Drosophila melanogaster: one gene and its partners. The protein of the gene in region 1 interacts with the protein of each later gene in a pairwise test. Each region holds a gene or a part of one and is shown on either strand. Other genes may lie near its edges.

Region 1 (5,118 bases):
CGTATTTAAACAGATAATTATTTATTGAAATTACATTTAAATTAATGATTGTATTTAATAATAATTTTTACTAATTTACCGGCTTTTAAGCACTACCAAAATCAATCGGCGGATAACATTAAAAAGCCCCCCCCCCCCCCCTCCTCTCCATTTTAATTGCCATTACCATACACCATCATATTGCTTCTTCTTAAAATGCTAAGAAAACGATAAAAAAGGAAAACGAAAACGAAAAAAAAAACTGCTAAACAAAACCACCTTACTTATGTATAGCTTTTAGAAATCATTAGTTTTAAGTATAATTCTGGTAGGGTTGGCCTTCTTCAAAAACAAAAAAAGAACATAGTGAAGGTTTCAACACAATTTTAAAGAACTGTTGTATTTTTTTTAATTAAGATAATATTACTGATATATAATATTAAATATATTACTGAATGGAATAAGTCATAAAAGCGAACTTTCCTTCTAGATCTATATGGACTATAATTTTCTTTGTTCGAGCGGGTAAAACTAGGAAGATATCACGGAAATTAAAGTATATTTGAGTTCGTAACTATCTAGATAATGTAGAAGTTATACCTTTTTTTTAACTTAATTAGTTGCACAGATTACTTTCTCACTCATAGGCCTTGAAATTGTCTAATAAAGGAGTAATAACAAATATAATTTCTAATCCCTAAAAGGAAGATATTATTAAAGTTAAATTGTTAAACTATATACAATTTTCTTAACCTATCAACTCTATATACAATTTAATCAACTCTATATACTCTATATACAATCGTTTACTTCTTTCAGTTCCTAGCATCATTTTGTCCTAAGATTAATAATAATAATTTAACTATGTTAACTGGGCTGAGTCAGCAATGCCTCAGTAATTTCCTTGCTAGTATTTGTATCCAAATGAATTCCATTGCTAAACGACAGCGGCAGTCCATTCAAGAGGATCTGGTTTTGAATCTTCTGCATCCTGACATGGTACTTTATGCCAGCCTCGGGCAAGTTTTCGCCAAAACGATTCTCCAGAAAGGCAGACTCCACCGTGTACATGCCGCAGACGATGGCATCCTTGCAGAGCTTCTCCAGGCGCGCCTGGAGCAATCGATAGTGGCGATACATGGACATTCTCTTGGCAATCTTAGGCTCATCTAGCCAGTAGAATTCGCTGAGTGTGTCCATGGCAACCAATTGTATGCCAGGATCATTGATGATCGCGTAGCGGGCGTCGATTAGCGACGTGGAAACATCATCGTTTGCAAAACAGTTGAGGAATCGCACGCGACTCATGCACTCGCCCGCAATCTCGGCCAGCTGCTCCTCCGTGGGGCATTTCGCAGCAATCACTTCGCCGACAGAGTACGCCTTCAGCTCCATCCTAATGCTCTTGGCCAGAGATTCACGGTTGATCTTGTGACTCAGATTGATCAGCAGGACGCTCCACTGGCGACCACCGAATTTGTAGGGCACCAGGCAGTGGGCCACCAACTGTTGGAGCACCAGGCTTTTGCCACTGTTCCCTGGGCCGGAGATCTCCACCAGCGTATCGGCTTCAAAGCCGCAGGAGCCAAAAACGGCAAAGTGGAGTTGATGTGAGCCCATTAGGTTAAATTTACAAATTTGCGCCCTGGCATAAACAAAGGAGTTATCGATTGTGGCCTTTATCGATGACAGCCACCTAAAGTTGAATTGCGCAGCGCTGAAACATATTTAACACTAAATGGAACTAGGGCATATCGAATAGTTAAACAACAGCAGCAAGCGTTTCGTTATAACTTTCAGTTAGCATTTAGACTTATTTGCGCACATACATAAAAAAAATCCATTTTCACCACCCTGTGTTATCGCCCAGCCGCCTATCGCTGCTGGTGCCTAATTTAGCCCTAACGCCTGGGCGATGATAGAAAAAACGGCATAACGCGTTCTTACCAGTTGAACATCGTTTTCTACCATTTTTTGTTTACGTTTGCACCGCGAATATTCGTGCACCTGCACTCGCAATTTGCTCAAAGCCAGCGGCGCTTTTTCGCCGGCAAGTTGCTCCGCACCGAGTTAAAGCATCACTCAGGCGGACGAGCTGGTGTACTCCAGTTAGCTTCTCGCCCCAGCACTTGTAATTGTCATTATCGGCGGGGCGCCTTTGATCATTCAGCGGCATCTCGAATCCGAACCAAAAGTGGTTCTTTTGTTCTCTTTCTGCTTTGTGGCCACCTTTCCGCGCTCCCCGCTTACCGCTTCCCGTCTCCCGCGCCGTGCTTTTTCTTTCTGGCCACCTAGACACGTCAACAGATTTGGAACTTTGTAACTGGAATCTGGAACTGGGCATCGGAATCGGAATTAGGGAGAGATGCGCGTGAGCACCATCCGCAGCGGTCGGATCTGCCGGCTGGCATTGTGCCTGCTGGTACTGCTGCCGCTGCTGTATCTGCTGGCCAACTGGAGCGATCACCACAAGCGCGTCCAGGAGGCGTATCACACGCGCTTCGGCGGACCCAAGTTCGCCCACCAGCGATTGGAGGGCAGGCCCAGGGAGGTGCCCAAGCTGGTCGATGGTAAGTGGCTACAGGATCGAGGATAGCAATATCAGCCCTTGACCAGGATAAAGAATAGGATTGTGTCACCCATAACGTGAGCCTTGCCATTAAGATTCCTCACTCACGTATTATACAATTTTATTATGGAGGACTATCATCAGAACTAAGGATACAGAGTAGTTACCATATCATTGTTGAAAAGACCGAGTTGTTTGCTTACTGCAAACCCAGCTAAAGAATTCAGTAATCTTTGCTTTATATCACTTAAAACCGGCTTTTGCTCGTTTTAACCAATTAATTACTTGCCATGTATGCTACATAGTATTCAAAGAAGTCTTTATTACCACGTTTAGCGTGAGTAAAGTATGGTTGGAGGTTAAAGGATAACCTTTTCCAACCCATATCGTACAGTCTATTCCCAGTCTAACTTACGAGCCCATTTCAAATATTTATCGCATTCTATTATACATTCTCCAAAACCGGCTTTGTAATGGCCCTAACCAACCAACTATCAAATTCGGATAGAGTGAGAAAATAACCTCATAAAAGTCATTTTTACTGCACAGCCACCAAAACTAGTGTGTCTTTAGTCTTTTGTATCAAATGCTAATTCTAGTCGTAGAATATTCCATATGACCATAAGATGGTTAGATGATGGCATATTATTGGTCTGTAATACCCCGCCTTTATGCATAAGTCTGAAATTATAACCCACACCTCCTGCAAGCGCATACAGTGAGTGGCTGGGCCAATATTTAAACAATTGCTGTAAGCTTGCATAGGTAATTTGCACGCGCCACACTCACAATTTGTTTTTGCGTTTTTCAGGCCTTGGCAACTTTGAGCCGAAAGATGTGAAGCCACGTAGCGGGCCTGGCGAGAATGGCGAGGCCCACAGCCTGTCGCCGGACAAGAAGCACATGTCGGACGCCTCCGAGATGGAGTACGGCATGAACATCGCCTGCTCCGATGAGATATCGATGCACCGATCGGTGCGGGACACGCGGCTCGAAGAGTGCCGCCACTGGGACTACCCCTTCGATCTGCCGCGCACGAGCGTCATCATTGTCTTCCACAACGAGGGCTTCTCGGTGCTGATGCGCACCGTGCACTCGGTCATCGATCGTTCGCCCACGCACATGCTGCACGAGATCATCCTGGTGGATGACTTCTCCGACAAGGAGAACCTGCGCAGCCAGCTGGACGAGTATGTGCTGCAGTTCAAGGGGCTGGTCAAGGTCATCAGGAACAAGGAGCGCGAAGGTCTCATCCGAACGAGATCCAGGGGAGCCATGGAGGCTACAGGTGCGTATAGCCCATATCTCATTTATGTATATTGTTATGTGTTCTTGCATAACTTGCATAACTCATGACGGCTTATCGCATAGTTAAAAGAACGTGTTGTATGGAAAACAATAGTTTTATCTTGAGATGTTTGCATCAAACGCTGAAACGCCAGCTATTTGGAATTTGAATTGAAGATAACTTCACGTTCCGCTTTGTGGCAATGATAAACCTTTAAACTGCAGACTCATTGAATTTCTTTTACATTTTCTCAGCATAATAGAATTGCCTATCATTGCAATTGAAGCAAGATTATCGTCGATTTCAAACAAGCCTTTTAGCATAAACAGTATGCATAGAAATTTACAAATTACTATTTTAAAGCATCATCCTTTAAATCATCATATTAACCCACAACCTTATAAATATCCACACAAACACTAAACTGCTTTGCATCCCGCAGGTGAGGTGATCGTCTTCTTGGACGCCCATTGCGAGGTAAACACCAACTGGCTGCCGCCCTTGCTGGCGCCCATCTACCGGGATCGCACTGTGATGACAGTGCCCATTATCGATGGCATTGACCACAAGAACTTTGAGTACCGGCCGGTTTATGGCACGGACAACCACTTCCGCGGCATCTTCGAATGGGGCATGCTGTACAAGGAGAACGAGGTGCCACGTCGCGAGCAGCGCCGCCGTGCTCACAACTCGGAACCCTATCGCAGTCCCACGCACGCCGGCGGCCTGTTCGCCATCAATAGGGAGTACTTCCTGGAGCTGGGCGCCTACGATCCGGGTCTGCTGGTCTGGGGCGGCGAGAACTTCGAATTGAGCTTCAAGATCTGGCAGTGTGGCGGCAGCATCGAGTGGGTGCCATGCTCTCGCGTGGGTCACGTCTATCGCGGCTTTATGCCCTACAATTTCGGCAAACTGGCTAGCAAGAAGAAGGGTCCATTGATCACGATCAACTACAAGCGCGTCATCGAGACGTGGTTCGACGACACGCACAAGGAGTACTTCTATACGCGCGAGCCGCTTGCCCGCTACCTGGACATGGGCGACATTAGCGAGCAACTGGCGCTGAAGAAGCGACTGAACTGCAAGAGCTTCCAGTGGTTCATGGACCACATCGCCTACGATGTGTACGACAAGTTCCCGGGTCTGCCGGCCAACCTGCACTGGGGCGAGCTGCGCTCGGTGGCCTCCGACGGATGCCTGGACTCGATGGGCCACCAGCCGCCGGCCATCATGGGCCTCACATACTGCCATGGAGGCGGAAATAATCAACTGGTTCGGCTCA
Region 2 (5,575 bases), on another chromosome or scaffold:
TTTCCAGCTCGGTGCAATAAATCTGGGGCCACAAACTGCACTCGATTGCCCTGCCACATGCAACGTTCCCGCTTTTCTCAGCCAAAACGTGTGCGCAATTTTCGCAATTTTCTAATAGCCGTTAAAGCTGTCGGTGGGAAGGGATCCATTCCTCGTTCTCCACCAGTAACATTAACAAAAACAAAAATAAAAAGGAAAACAGCAGCTTTTCACGTCCGATGATGCCCAGTTGCATGACTTCTTGTTTTTTGCTCGAACGGAAGTCCTTTCGACGCCATTTTGCGGTCGGCTATTGCAATTGAGTGCAGCCCCGACTTCATCAGCTTCCAGTTCCGTTCTCCTCAGCCCCAGGGATCCGGATCCCTCGAGGAGCTCAAGGATACGTGCCCGGGCACTCTGGCACGCACTTTAAGTTTCATTAAACAAAACCATCGCGCCTAGGCCTTCGAAGATTGCCTATAAATTCATGGAAGTCAGTGAAATGGAAAGCAAAATCTATGGCGGACGCAATTTGGTACAGTGTGCTGTCGGAAAACAAGATCGATACTAAAATTCCAAATGCTGATACAAATAAGAGTAACTAGAATAATGAATTTTTTTGTTACATTAAAAATGTTTTTTTTTCTTGTTCGTTAACTTTTAAGTCATCTTTCGAAGCTTCACTGTATTTCTCGCCGTTTTCCGACGCTGCTGACACAGCAGTGGAAATCCGTTTGCATTTCAGTGAGTCCAGGCTGTCGGGTGGGATTCCTATTGCCAGACCCACATTCCTTGGACGACCATTAAATCTGCAACAATTTACTTGTGATTGACATGTTTATAAGGGTCGTAACCCACAGAACCCCTTCCCTAGACCATTTTTCCAGGGAGTGACCCTTTTCTGGTGGAGATGTTTGTTTTTGTCCCCTTTCATAAACGAGTGAAGCCTAAAACGGTTCTGGACTGCTCCTTTTTTTCATTTATCACGCAAAGAGAAATAAATCTTTGATATTTGTGCTGTCAAGGAAGCATACTAAATATCCTTCTGCACTTTCCAGTACTTTTCCTTGGCGAGGCGGAAGATATTGAAGTGGACAACAATTCGTGGCATTGTCTGAAAACTCTCAGCACACACAATTAAAAGTTCCCACGTCAAGGGATACATGAATAAAACAACAAAACGAGTGCGTGAGGAAGAAAACATAACTGAATCGAACGGATAATACCCTAAAAAACAGAGACAGATATTAGTGAATTAATTAGGAATAAAAATCACAACTTATCAACTTTAGAACTCGTATTTGAATAAACTTTCCAAATGAACATCCATTTAATTGAATTCCCACATATAAAACTCTCTTGCCAAGTTCATCATACCCATAAAAGTAGAAAAGAAGTGGAAGCAATGAAAATAAAAAAAAGTGTTCCACAGAATCTTCGATATCTCCATTGGCGGACAAAACGCGTGTTTTGTTTTAATTTTGCACTTGGAAGAAGAAAAGAAATCCCAACCGGTTTTCAAAGGCGCCCCCCTAAAAAGGGCAAAACGTGCGGGTAATCATCAGCCAGCGCAGTAAAAAATGAAAATACGAAATACTACATACAGTTCACGATCAATTGAAATGCAACAAAAAACAGCTGACATGCAAGCAACTGCAACTCGAACGCACTTCGAGCCGCAACTCGAACCGAAAAACCAGGTTGGCACCGATCGTGGCTAAGATCGAAACAAAGTTTGGAAACTTTCAGTTGAGCGCGAGAATTCCACGCGGGCGGACGGGGCGGATGAACGATATCGGTGTCTTGTCGGTTTTATTCTGGTGTCGAAAAGAGCGATAAGAACTGAATTCGTTTCGAAATACTGAGAAGTAAGACACCAAAACGATAAGGAGTCGCCGCTCTGCATGTTAAAACCAAGTCGAGTTACTTCACATGGAACAACACGCAAAATGAACTAAAAACTCATTTCGAAACAGCTGAACACATTTGTCAGCTGGTTAAACAAATTTTGTGTGGAGAAATGCTAATGAGTTCCGTTGCTGTTGCCGCTGAACTTTTCAATTAATTTAACAGCCCATCGTCGTTGGCATAGATCTTATCGCCATATCATAAAACAAAAAAATAAAAGCCCAGCCGAGGAAAACAAAACCCAAAAAAGGTTCTCAAGAAAGTTTAACGAAATTGAAAGAAAACAACACAGCAGCTCAAACGGTTTTTGTTGCTGCCATCTATTTTGGAAGCGATTTTTTCTTTTTTTAGGCCGAAAGGTGCGCCCGATTCCAAAGATTCGAGGCATTACGAGCCCCGCGGGGTTCTCAATTTTCAGCTACCCTTTTCGTGAGTTTTTCGCTGAGCTCAGTGGGATATAAAAATATAGACATAACTCTGCTCATATTTGCAAGTATTTTTCGTACTGACATTTGAAACCAGAAATATGTATGCCCCATCCCAGAGTTGCTGCTGCAAGGTTGTTTTTTTTTTACCTGTCCTCTGCCATTAATTGAAATCCAATGCGGAAGGGGCGTAGTAAAGTGCATTGAGAAGGGGTTTTTGGAAGGGGGCCAACCGACCGCTAGGCTATGACAATTATTACAGCTTCCCAAAAGCGGCCAAAGAAACAGGTTGCTCTCGCTCCTGCCATCAAAAACTCGCAGTAAAGCCAAGTAGTGCAAATTGGTTAGCATAGAACATAGAACATAAAACATAAAAAAGGGGAAAGGAAGTTGGGCCTGCAGTACCGGGTTTTAAATACACTTTATAAGGCAGAAAATCAAAAATATACCATAATTTAAATAAGTGCCTGCTGCAAATGTCACTTTCTATAATAGCAAAGCTGGTCTTATATAACTAATCTAATCTATAATTTCTATCAAAACATATATATATCAAGACAAGAGTTAAGCAGATCTCCGAATACTCTTTGGTAGAGTAAAGAAAAAGCGGAGCAAGATGGGGCTGACTGAGAGACAGGAAAAGAGGCATCGACCACTTACGCATAACTGTAAGATAGACTGGCAGCAAACAGGATTTCTGGCACGTACTTCTGGCTCACAAGTGAAAGAATTACTTGGCTCTTTTCCTCCTCTATGTAGCATATATTGTACATACCATATAGCGTTTGGGTCTGCCGCGCCCCTTATCAACCGACAAATTAAGTTCAAACTGCTGCTGCTGGCCGGCATGGAAAAGAGCTAAAACTCCAATTTGTGTCAAAATACTCATGCGCAAAAATGGAATTTTTCCATTAGGCCAGAGAGACCCAAACTGAAAAAGCCAACAAAAAACTCCTAAACTAACATGAAAACAGTGAAAATCATGTGGAGAGACTAGCTAGGCACTGAGAGAAATTGAGTAGATCGTAAAAGTATTTTACAATAATGCCATTCGTAGTTAAATGAAGTAAGCGCTGGTTGCTTCGTTTAAATGGCCTGCAGCTATTTAAGCCAAACTATCGTTTTAAGGGTATGAGCATTTTCCTCAGTGTACCAGACTAAAGTAAAGTAAAGGCAACCAAAGTTTCAGGCTGCAACTTGTCAAACGTGTTCCCCAACAAAGTCTCGCGGCATTTGGAAATGTGCAGCATTGTGCAGCGGCAAGAAAAACAGCAGCAGCAGCCACAGAAACGAAAACAACTCGCATAACTGTGACTTGTATTAATTTTCAAGCTTTTCCAAACAGCCAACTGCAAACAAAAAGAAAATCCTAATACCGCGTTGTCTCAGCAGCAAAATGTTCGCGGCGACAAGAGGCTCAATTAGCATTTAGAAAAGCCGCATCGTCATCGCGATCCCATCATTAAACTCCCTATAGATGGAGGAGGACGTGCTGAACGCCCTGCAGACGCGGAGTGCCTACTTATCCGGCGGATTCGATCGCCAGAAGCGCATCGTCTTCGTTGTCAACGCATTCAACGATCTGCAGCTGTGGAATCGCCGCTATCTGCAGGTGACTCTGGACTATCTGAAGCGGTCTCTCAGGTGAGAATCGGGAATTAAGTGGTATTAGGCATTTGCCATTAGGCACAGAAACTTTAGAAACCGGCAGTGGAAATGCCGACGATTCATTAGCATATGGCCGAAATATGCAAATAGCCCGCAGATGATGAAGGTTCATTTTTTGTCGTCTTTAATGCATTACTTTTCATTAGACACGGCTCTCTGGGAGGGGTCTTAAAACGGGTCTCGAAAAGCGGAAAACACCTAACAAAATCTGGTTATTTATATGCTAAGTGTCAGATATTTAAAGCCAACTAAATAATTTAAAGTTTCTGAAGTCAGATGATTTGTCTTGAATGGAAAACATTGTTAATATCCACTTACATATATTACTTCAGAGTAACTTGATACAAAGTTCGGTCAGTTTAAGCACACTTTCATTTTATAAACACACTTTACAAGCAACATATGTAAAAATAGTAGTAGCAATAAATGTACCCTCTTAAAAACCTTAAGATAATTTATGAAAATTATATACCGTTCGTAACCTATTTAAACAACTACCTATGGGCTTTACGCCCTTCTTTTGTTATTTCCCATTTAAGTTTGTTTATTTATTGGCACAACAAGCAAATTGTTTAAGTTTACGAGGTAGGCATCAAACAATCTTTTAAATACAGGGAAGAAGCCACATGAATTATGGATATATTGATTGTGATCAATCAACTGGCAGTTCCCCTGAAAAAAGAGTGTCTGATTAAAGCCAAATCCTAACTGGCAAGCTAATGAAGCGCTTAAAGACGCTTTCCTCCAGTCCCAAACCGATTAACCAACTTGACATTAATCTCTTTCAGCGCTTCGGTGTTGCAGAATGGCGTGAGTGTGGTGGTCAATGCCCAGGAGAGCAGTTCGCGGATATCACGGCAGCAGGTGCGACAGATTTACGCCCTCTTCGGGGGCGACATCAATGTGGATCTGTATCTAGTCAGGGCGGAGGGCTTCTGGGAGAAGCATGTGGAGCCGTGCACCAAGTCCCAGGTCAAGGGAGAGGTAAGCTAATAGCTTAGGTTGGACACAACTCAAGAAGTGAATTAAAGATTTAAATAGCTTCCCATTAAATCGATTTAGTTCCTAATAAAATATATCATAACCATAAACTGCAACATAGTAATTAGAATTTCCACATTGAACTCATTAATTTCTCACTGTGCTCTCTTAATAGCCCCTGGTGCTGTCGAAGGCGAGGCTGTTCAAGTTCATAGAGCCGCAGAACCTGCCCGAGGAACTGGGCGGCACCTTGCAGTTCAACTACGATCTGTGGCTGCAGCAGCGCAAGGTAAGTGCCCCAATTTCTGTACCGTTCGAACGGCACATAATGGCTATATTTACGCAGTCCATCGACGAGTTCACCAAGTCGCATGTGCAGACTTTGGCTTCGATGGAGAAACTGTTGGCTCTTCTGCGGGAGCACAAGTCTCTGCGGCCGGCGGAAGCGGATGTGGAGCTGAAGAAGTGCGCCCAGATGCATGCCGGTGTGCAAAACGACATAGAGACCGCCATCGACTTGGGTGAGTCGAGTTCGTTGCTTGAGTCTTTTGTTTTTTTTGGTCTGTTCGCTAGTCGTTTTTTGTTTGCCCCGCGAGCAATTAACATAATTCGGT
Region 3 (5,528 bases), 4.3 Mb from region 1:
GATGGCGCCACAAACGATGGCGTCGTACAAACTTTGAGAGACGTCTGCAAATCTCGGAAAAGCTGAGGAAAATCTGAAAGTCACAGTGATCCATTCGTAAATGACGTGCACGTAAATCAAGGTGTTTCCAATGAATCACAACACGGTGAAAAAAAAAAAAAAAAACGAGAGCACTCATGGAATGTCCATATGGTTATTGTTCAAGTTTTGTTTAGTTTTAAGCGATTCAGTAATATATGTAGATGAATGAAAAAGATCACAGTCATTCGATTTTTAATTGAGTACTGAAAAGTTAATTATTAAGTTCAGGTTTCTAAACTTGCGAATTTGGCATATTTAAGATATTGTATCTTCATTTCGCTTCTTAAGATACTTTTCAAAAGCACCGCCTCAAATTCAAACTTACGCGCGACTTGAGGTCGAGGATCTCGTTGAGATTCTCCTGAATGATCTCCTCCTCCGACATGGACGTAATGCTCTTCCGGGCCACCAGGGAGGTGAGGGCATCCGGCGACTTGGGCACCGCCGGATTGGAGCACACTGTGCCCGTTCCACGCGGCATGGCGGCCGGAAATTTTGGCACCGGCTGGCGATTTGAGGCGGTCGCGGACATGGGCGTGGCTCTGCGACGGAATAAGTGGCTTACGTACTAGTTCGGTTTGAACGGACCGCAAAAAAACAATCGAGTTTCGGAACGGAGTGTATTCAAATTTTCGCAAAAATTTCACAATTTGTATGAAGTGAAGATCGCGTCCGGGCGGCGATCAAAAATCGAGTGAGAGGCGAAATTGTGTGGTTACGAGCCCAAACCTCCTCGTTCCTCTTTTTTTTCGCGACTTCGTTCGATTTCTGCGGGCGATTTGTTGTTATTTGTTGTTTATTTACATTGCAGTAAATAATTGTACGGCTGGCTGTGTGTGCCCCAAGTTCATATCGAAACTGATGCGTATATATATATATATAGGTATGTGCGTATGTGTGTATGCACACATCGACCGAAATATGCAGCAATTAAATTGTTTATTTTTATGCAAAAGATTCGCAGCTATTTTGAAAAACGATTATCGATACAAATGAGCGGCAGAAGGTAGGGGAAAAACATGTTTTTTTAATTCTGTTCTGTATATTTAAAAAAATTTTAATTTTTTTATTTAATTAATTTTAATTACACTAAAATTTATTATATATATTATTAAATACTTTTGTAAATACTTTCTCGTAATTTCCCCGTGAGAACAACTTTTTGACGAATTCCCCCAACAATATTTTCAAACAATCGATGCTATCGATGTAACGGACGCATCGATAATTTGGCTGGACAGTTCGATGATATATCATTTTTAATAAAATCATTAAAATGATAAAAGATATAAAGATTTAACTAGATTTGCTACAAACATTGCAGGTCGCGCTGTTGTCGATTATTCCAGAATAATAACTTCTGGCTGTGCTCATTTTATTTCCGTTTTATTATTAACGTCTTTCTTATTTGAATTCACTTGCATATTAGTGTGACCAATAAGAAATATGAAAAATATATTTAGCAAAAAACGCGATATCTTATATATATATATATCATTTATTTTTATAAAAAGGGAAACAAATAAGATATCGATATTTTTACATATATATTCCACATCTCTAGACAAATCCTACACAGAATTCCCAGGCCCGCGAGTTCTCGCTGCATCTGCATCCACCACAATCTGCACCAGCAATAAACCACCTAACACAAACGCAACGGCGTCGTCCCATCGCTGCGCCCGCCGTTTCCATCGTCGTCAGCAGTAGCAGCAGCAGCAGCAGCAGCAGCAGCAGGAGGAGGAGGAGGAGCAGGAGAGGCGGAGCCACTGTGGCACTATGGCCCTAACTAATCGGGATCGGGAACGGGGCTCTGGTCCATTGCCCAATCGCTGGCTATACTGTCCGCGCAAGAGCGATACCATCATTGCGGAACGCTTCCTGGCCTTTAAGACCCCGCTGAGCAATAACTTTCACGACAAGATGCCCATCGAGTGCACCTTTCAACCCGAGATGCTCTTCGAATACTGCAAAACGCTAAAGGTGAATGCAAACGCAACATCCCCCAATTTCCAACTCACTTATCCAATCCATCTTATGGTTTCAGGTGAAACTGGGCCTCTGGGTTGACCTGACCAATACGAAACGATTCTACGATCGATCCGCAGTGGAGGAGCTCGGCGCGAAATATATTAAGCTGCAGTGCCGTGGACATGGCGAGACGCCATCGCCGGAGCAGACGCACAGTTTCATCGAGATCGTGGACAACTTTATTAACGAACGTCCATTTGACGTTATAGCCGTGCACTGCACGCACGGTTTCAATCGCACTGGCTTCCTGATTGTCTGCTATTTGGTCGAGCGACTCGATTGCTCCGTTTCGGCAGCGCTCGCTATCTTTGCCAGCGCCCGGCCGCCGGGCATCTACAAGCAGGATTACATCAACGAGCTGTACAAACGCTACGAGGACACGAATGCCGCTCCAGCGGCACCAGAACAGCCCAATTGGTGCCTGGACTATGATGATGGCAACGGCGATGGTTTTGTGCAGGACAACTCCTCATCCACGTCACAGCAGGCCGGCGAGCAGGATGACGACGCCGAGGAGGTGGAGGGAGAGGATGCGGGCGGCGACTGTGACGCCTCCACGTCGGACGGTCAGCCGCGTAAGAAGCGACGGCGCGAAATGATCATCAAGAATGCCACCTTTATGGCGGGAGTGCCGGGCGTGCGACAGGTGAGCGATCAGCCGCGACTGGGCGATCTGCAGCGTAAGGTGCAGGACTGGTGCGACTGGAAGAAGAACGGCTTCCCTGGCGCACAGCCCGTCTCCATGGACAGGGAGAACATAAAGCGGCTAAGCGAGATACCGTATCGTGTGTCGTGGAAGGCGGACGGTACACGTTATATGATGCTCATCGATGGAAGGGACGAGGTATATTTCTTCGATCGCAATCACTCCTGTTTCCAGGTGGAGAATGTGACATTTGTGGAGAGCAGGAACCTAAACGAGCATCTCGACGGCACTCTCGTCGACGGGGTATGTGATTCTAGCTGGCACTCCTGATTGCAACTAAATTATCGTTCTATTTGTCCGTTTAGGAGATGGTGCTGGACAAGATCGGCGAGACCGTAACGCCGCGCTACCTCATCTACGACATTGTGCGATTATCGAATCGCGATGTGCGGGACGAGCCATTCTATCCAAATCGACTGGACTACATTAAGACGGAAGTTATAGGTGAGTAATTATTCGATGTTCGTTTATGAAGGACACATCCATATATCGCTGCAGGTCCCCGAATCCTGGGCATGAAGCATGGCATCATCAATCAGCGGCTGCAGGCGTTCAGTGTGCGCGGCAAGGACTTCTGGGACATTTGGATGTCTGCCCGGCTGCTGGGTGAGAAATTCTCGCGGACACTGGCACACGAACCGGATGGCCTCATCTTCCAGCCATCAAAGCAGCCCTACACGGCTGGCACATGCTCCGATGTCTTCAAATGGAAGCCACATGAGCTCAACTCGGTGGACTTTCGGCTGAAGATCATAACAGAGCGCGGCGAGGGGTGAGTTGTAGTGATCTATCCGTTCAACGGGCTCAATTCATACCATGCCATTCTCCGCCTCTGGCAGCTTGCTGACGAAAAAGGTGGGCTTCCTCTATGTCGGCGGACACGATGCACCCTATGGACGGATGCAAAGGTTAACGAAGGAGACCAGAGAATTGGACAACAGAATCGTTGAGTGCACCATGAATCAGTTTGGCAACTGGGACTTTATGCGCGAGCGAACGGACAAAAAGAATCCCAACAGTTATAATACAGCCCGCTGTGAGTAGTAATCTTCACCAGCAGTAGGAGGATCCCTATACTCATTCTCAACTCATCTTAATTTCAGCCGTTGTGGACAGCATAAAGCATCCAGTCACCAAGGAGTACCTACTAAACTTTATCGCAAGCTCTGGCTATCGGAATGATCATGTCATGATGCCGCCGCCGATCAATTCCCATAACCAAAACCACAACCATAACCACTTTTATCCCCATGGTCATGGCCAACACCAGCGTCGTCCCTGCGTGAACCCGACATTAGGAAATTAATCAGAGCGTAATAAAAAAAGAAAGAATAAAATTAATCGTGAGTTATGTACCGAAAAACTGTGTGAACTTGGGTTTTCTTGGATTAGCTGAACTACGAATTACTTAGTACTAGGAGCACTCCAACCAGCTGTACTCCTTATAAACTTAAAACAGCTCATATAATTTATTTATCTAAATACATACATATATTTAAAGCACTGCACACTTGCAGTTTTGTTTATTCAGATGCAAACTTTGTTAACCCAATGGAGGTAGTCCAGATACTGCTCCCAGCACCTAAGGCAGTTGCAACAGCCATTGCAATAATCAAAAAAAAAAAAAACAACTAAATAATGGTGTCCAAAACATAGCCAAAATGGATGACATTTACATAAAACAGGAGGAACTTTGCTGCTCAGTTGAGCAGGCTGCCATTGTCGCGCAGAACCTCCGCCTCCAGCTGGCCAAGATGGAGCAGGGCCACCAGAGCGGCGCCCTGCTCTGCCTGCTTCTTGTTCTTCTCCCAGAAGGAGCTACTAAAGCGCTGGCCATCGTACGTGCAGATGGAGCGAAACAATTTGTCACACTGCTGCGTTTCGTACGCTGGCGGGGATTTGCCAGTTTTGACAGCATGCACATATAGTTGCGTTTTCGGCAGATGATTATCTGTGGCATGAAAAATACCGAATGGGGATGATGGCTATCATGGCAAGAGATTGATCGAAACACTTACCACTGGGATAGGTGGAGCGCAGGAATGGCATGTGTCGGCAAATGATGCCGTCGTACTCGTCCGTTATGGCAATGGCCGCATCCTCCAGCTTCTGTCGCTTGGCCAGCGCCTCCGGTGGCTCCACCTCCGCCCGTCCCGAGTTGCCCATCGTCTTTAGCTCCCGCTGCTTGCGGCGGCAATAGTCGCCCAGCTCCCAGATCTCGCAGATCTGCTGCAGCGTCTGGCACTGAAGGAAACGCTTGCCACGCGGCGTCTCCTGCAGCTCCCTGAGTATGCTCTGCACACAGTACTTGGCGTTATGCGGCGCATTGTCGTAGTCGACGCACAGGCGCAGATACTTCTCGATTAGCTCGTCCATGGGCAGCAGGCCCTCCGGCCTGAAGATGCTAACATTGATCTGTGCCGCACGTGCGACCATCACGCTATCGGCGCCGCATTCCATTTGAAATTTGCGCAGATCATCGTAGCAGTGCATGTTTTTCGAACCACCGTTGGCGATAATCGGTATGTCAACCGCCTGGGCAACGGCACGCAGTACCTCGGGATGGGCAGGATGCTGCGGACGCTCGTCGCGCGTCCTCGCATGAATGCCAATGGCAGCGATGCCCGTGGCGGCCAGTTTCTGCACCAGATCGATTGTACCCTCCACGTCCGGCAGTATGCGTATTTTGCAGGTGACTGGAATGTCCAAG

What was found. The genes of interacting proteins can lie anywhere in the genome.
Region 2: the proteins of Xrcc2 (region 1) and CG15822 interact in a two-hybrid assay, tested with the Drosophila melanogaster proteins (one large-scale study listed by BioGRID).
Region 3: the proteins of Xrcc2 (region 1) and mRNA-cap interact in a two-hybrid assay, tested with the Drosophila melanogaster proteins (one large-scale study listed by BioGRID).

Annotation. Positions count from the first base shown.
Region 1 is NC_004354.4:18,496,663-18,501,780, reverse strand, and holds Xrcc2 (X-ray repair cross complementing 2), read right to left. Parts: upstream 1,655-5,118; 5' UTR 1,600-1,654; coding exon 847-1,599; 3' UTR 523-846; downstream 1-522. Other genes in the region: Pgant7 (polypeptide N-Acetylgalactosaminyltransferase 7), read left to right, coding at 2,345-2,549, 3,360-3,836, 4,279-5,118.
Region 2 is NT_037436.4:2,160,012-2,165,586, reverse strand, and holds the start of CG15822 (uncharacterized protein), read left to right. Parts: upstream 1-1,723; 5' UTR 1,724-1,847; exon of another isoform or gene 1,848-1,896; intron 1,897-3,657; 5' UTR 3,658-3,789; coding exon 3,790-3,956; intron 3,957-4,768; coding exon 4,769-4,964; intron 4,965-5,136; coding exon 5,137-5,250; intron 5,251-5,307; coding exon 5,308-5,482; intron 5,483-5,575.
Region 3 is NC_004354.4:14,238,914-14,244,441, reverse strand, and holds mRNA-cap (mRNA-capping-enzyme), read left to right. Parts: upstream 1-1,619; 5' UTR 1,620-1,860; coding exon 1,861-2,064; intron 2,065-2,128; coding exon 2,129-3,061; intron 3,062-3,123; coding exon 3,124-3,262; intron 3,263-3,316; coding exon 3,317-3,590; intron 3,591-3,657; coding exon 3,658-3,854; intron 3,855-3,921; coding exon 3,922-4,124; 3' UTR 4,125-4,176; downstream 4,177-5,528. Other genes in the region: CG32599 (uncharacterized protein), read right to left, coding at 407-613; Dus2 (dihydrouridine synthase 2), read right to left, coding at 4,519-4,769, 4,837-5,528.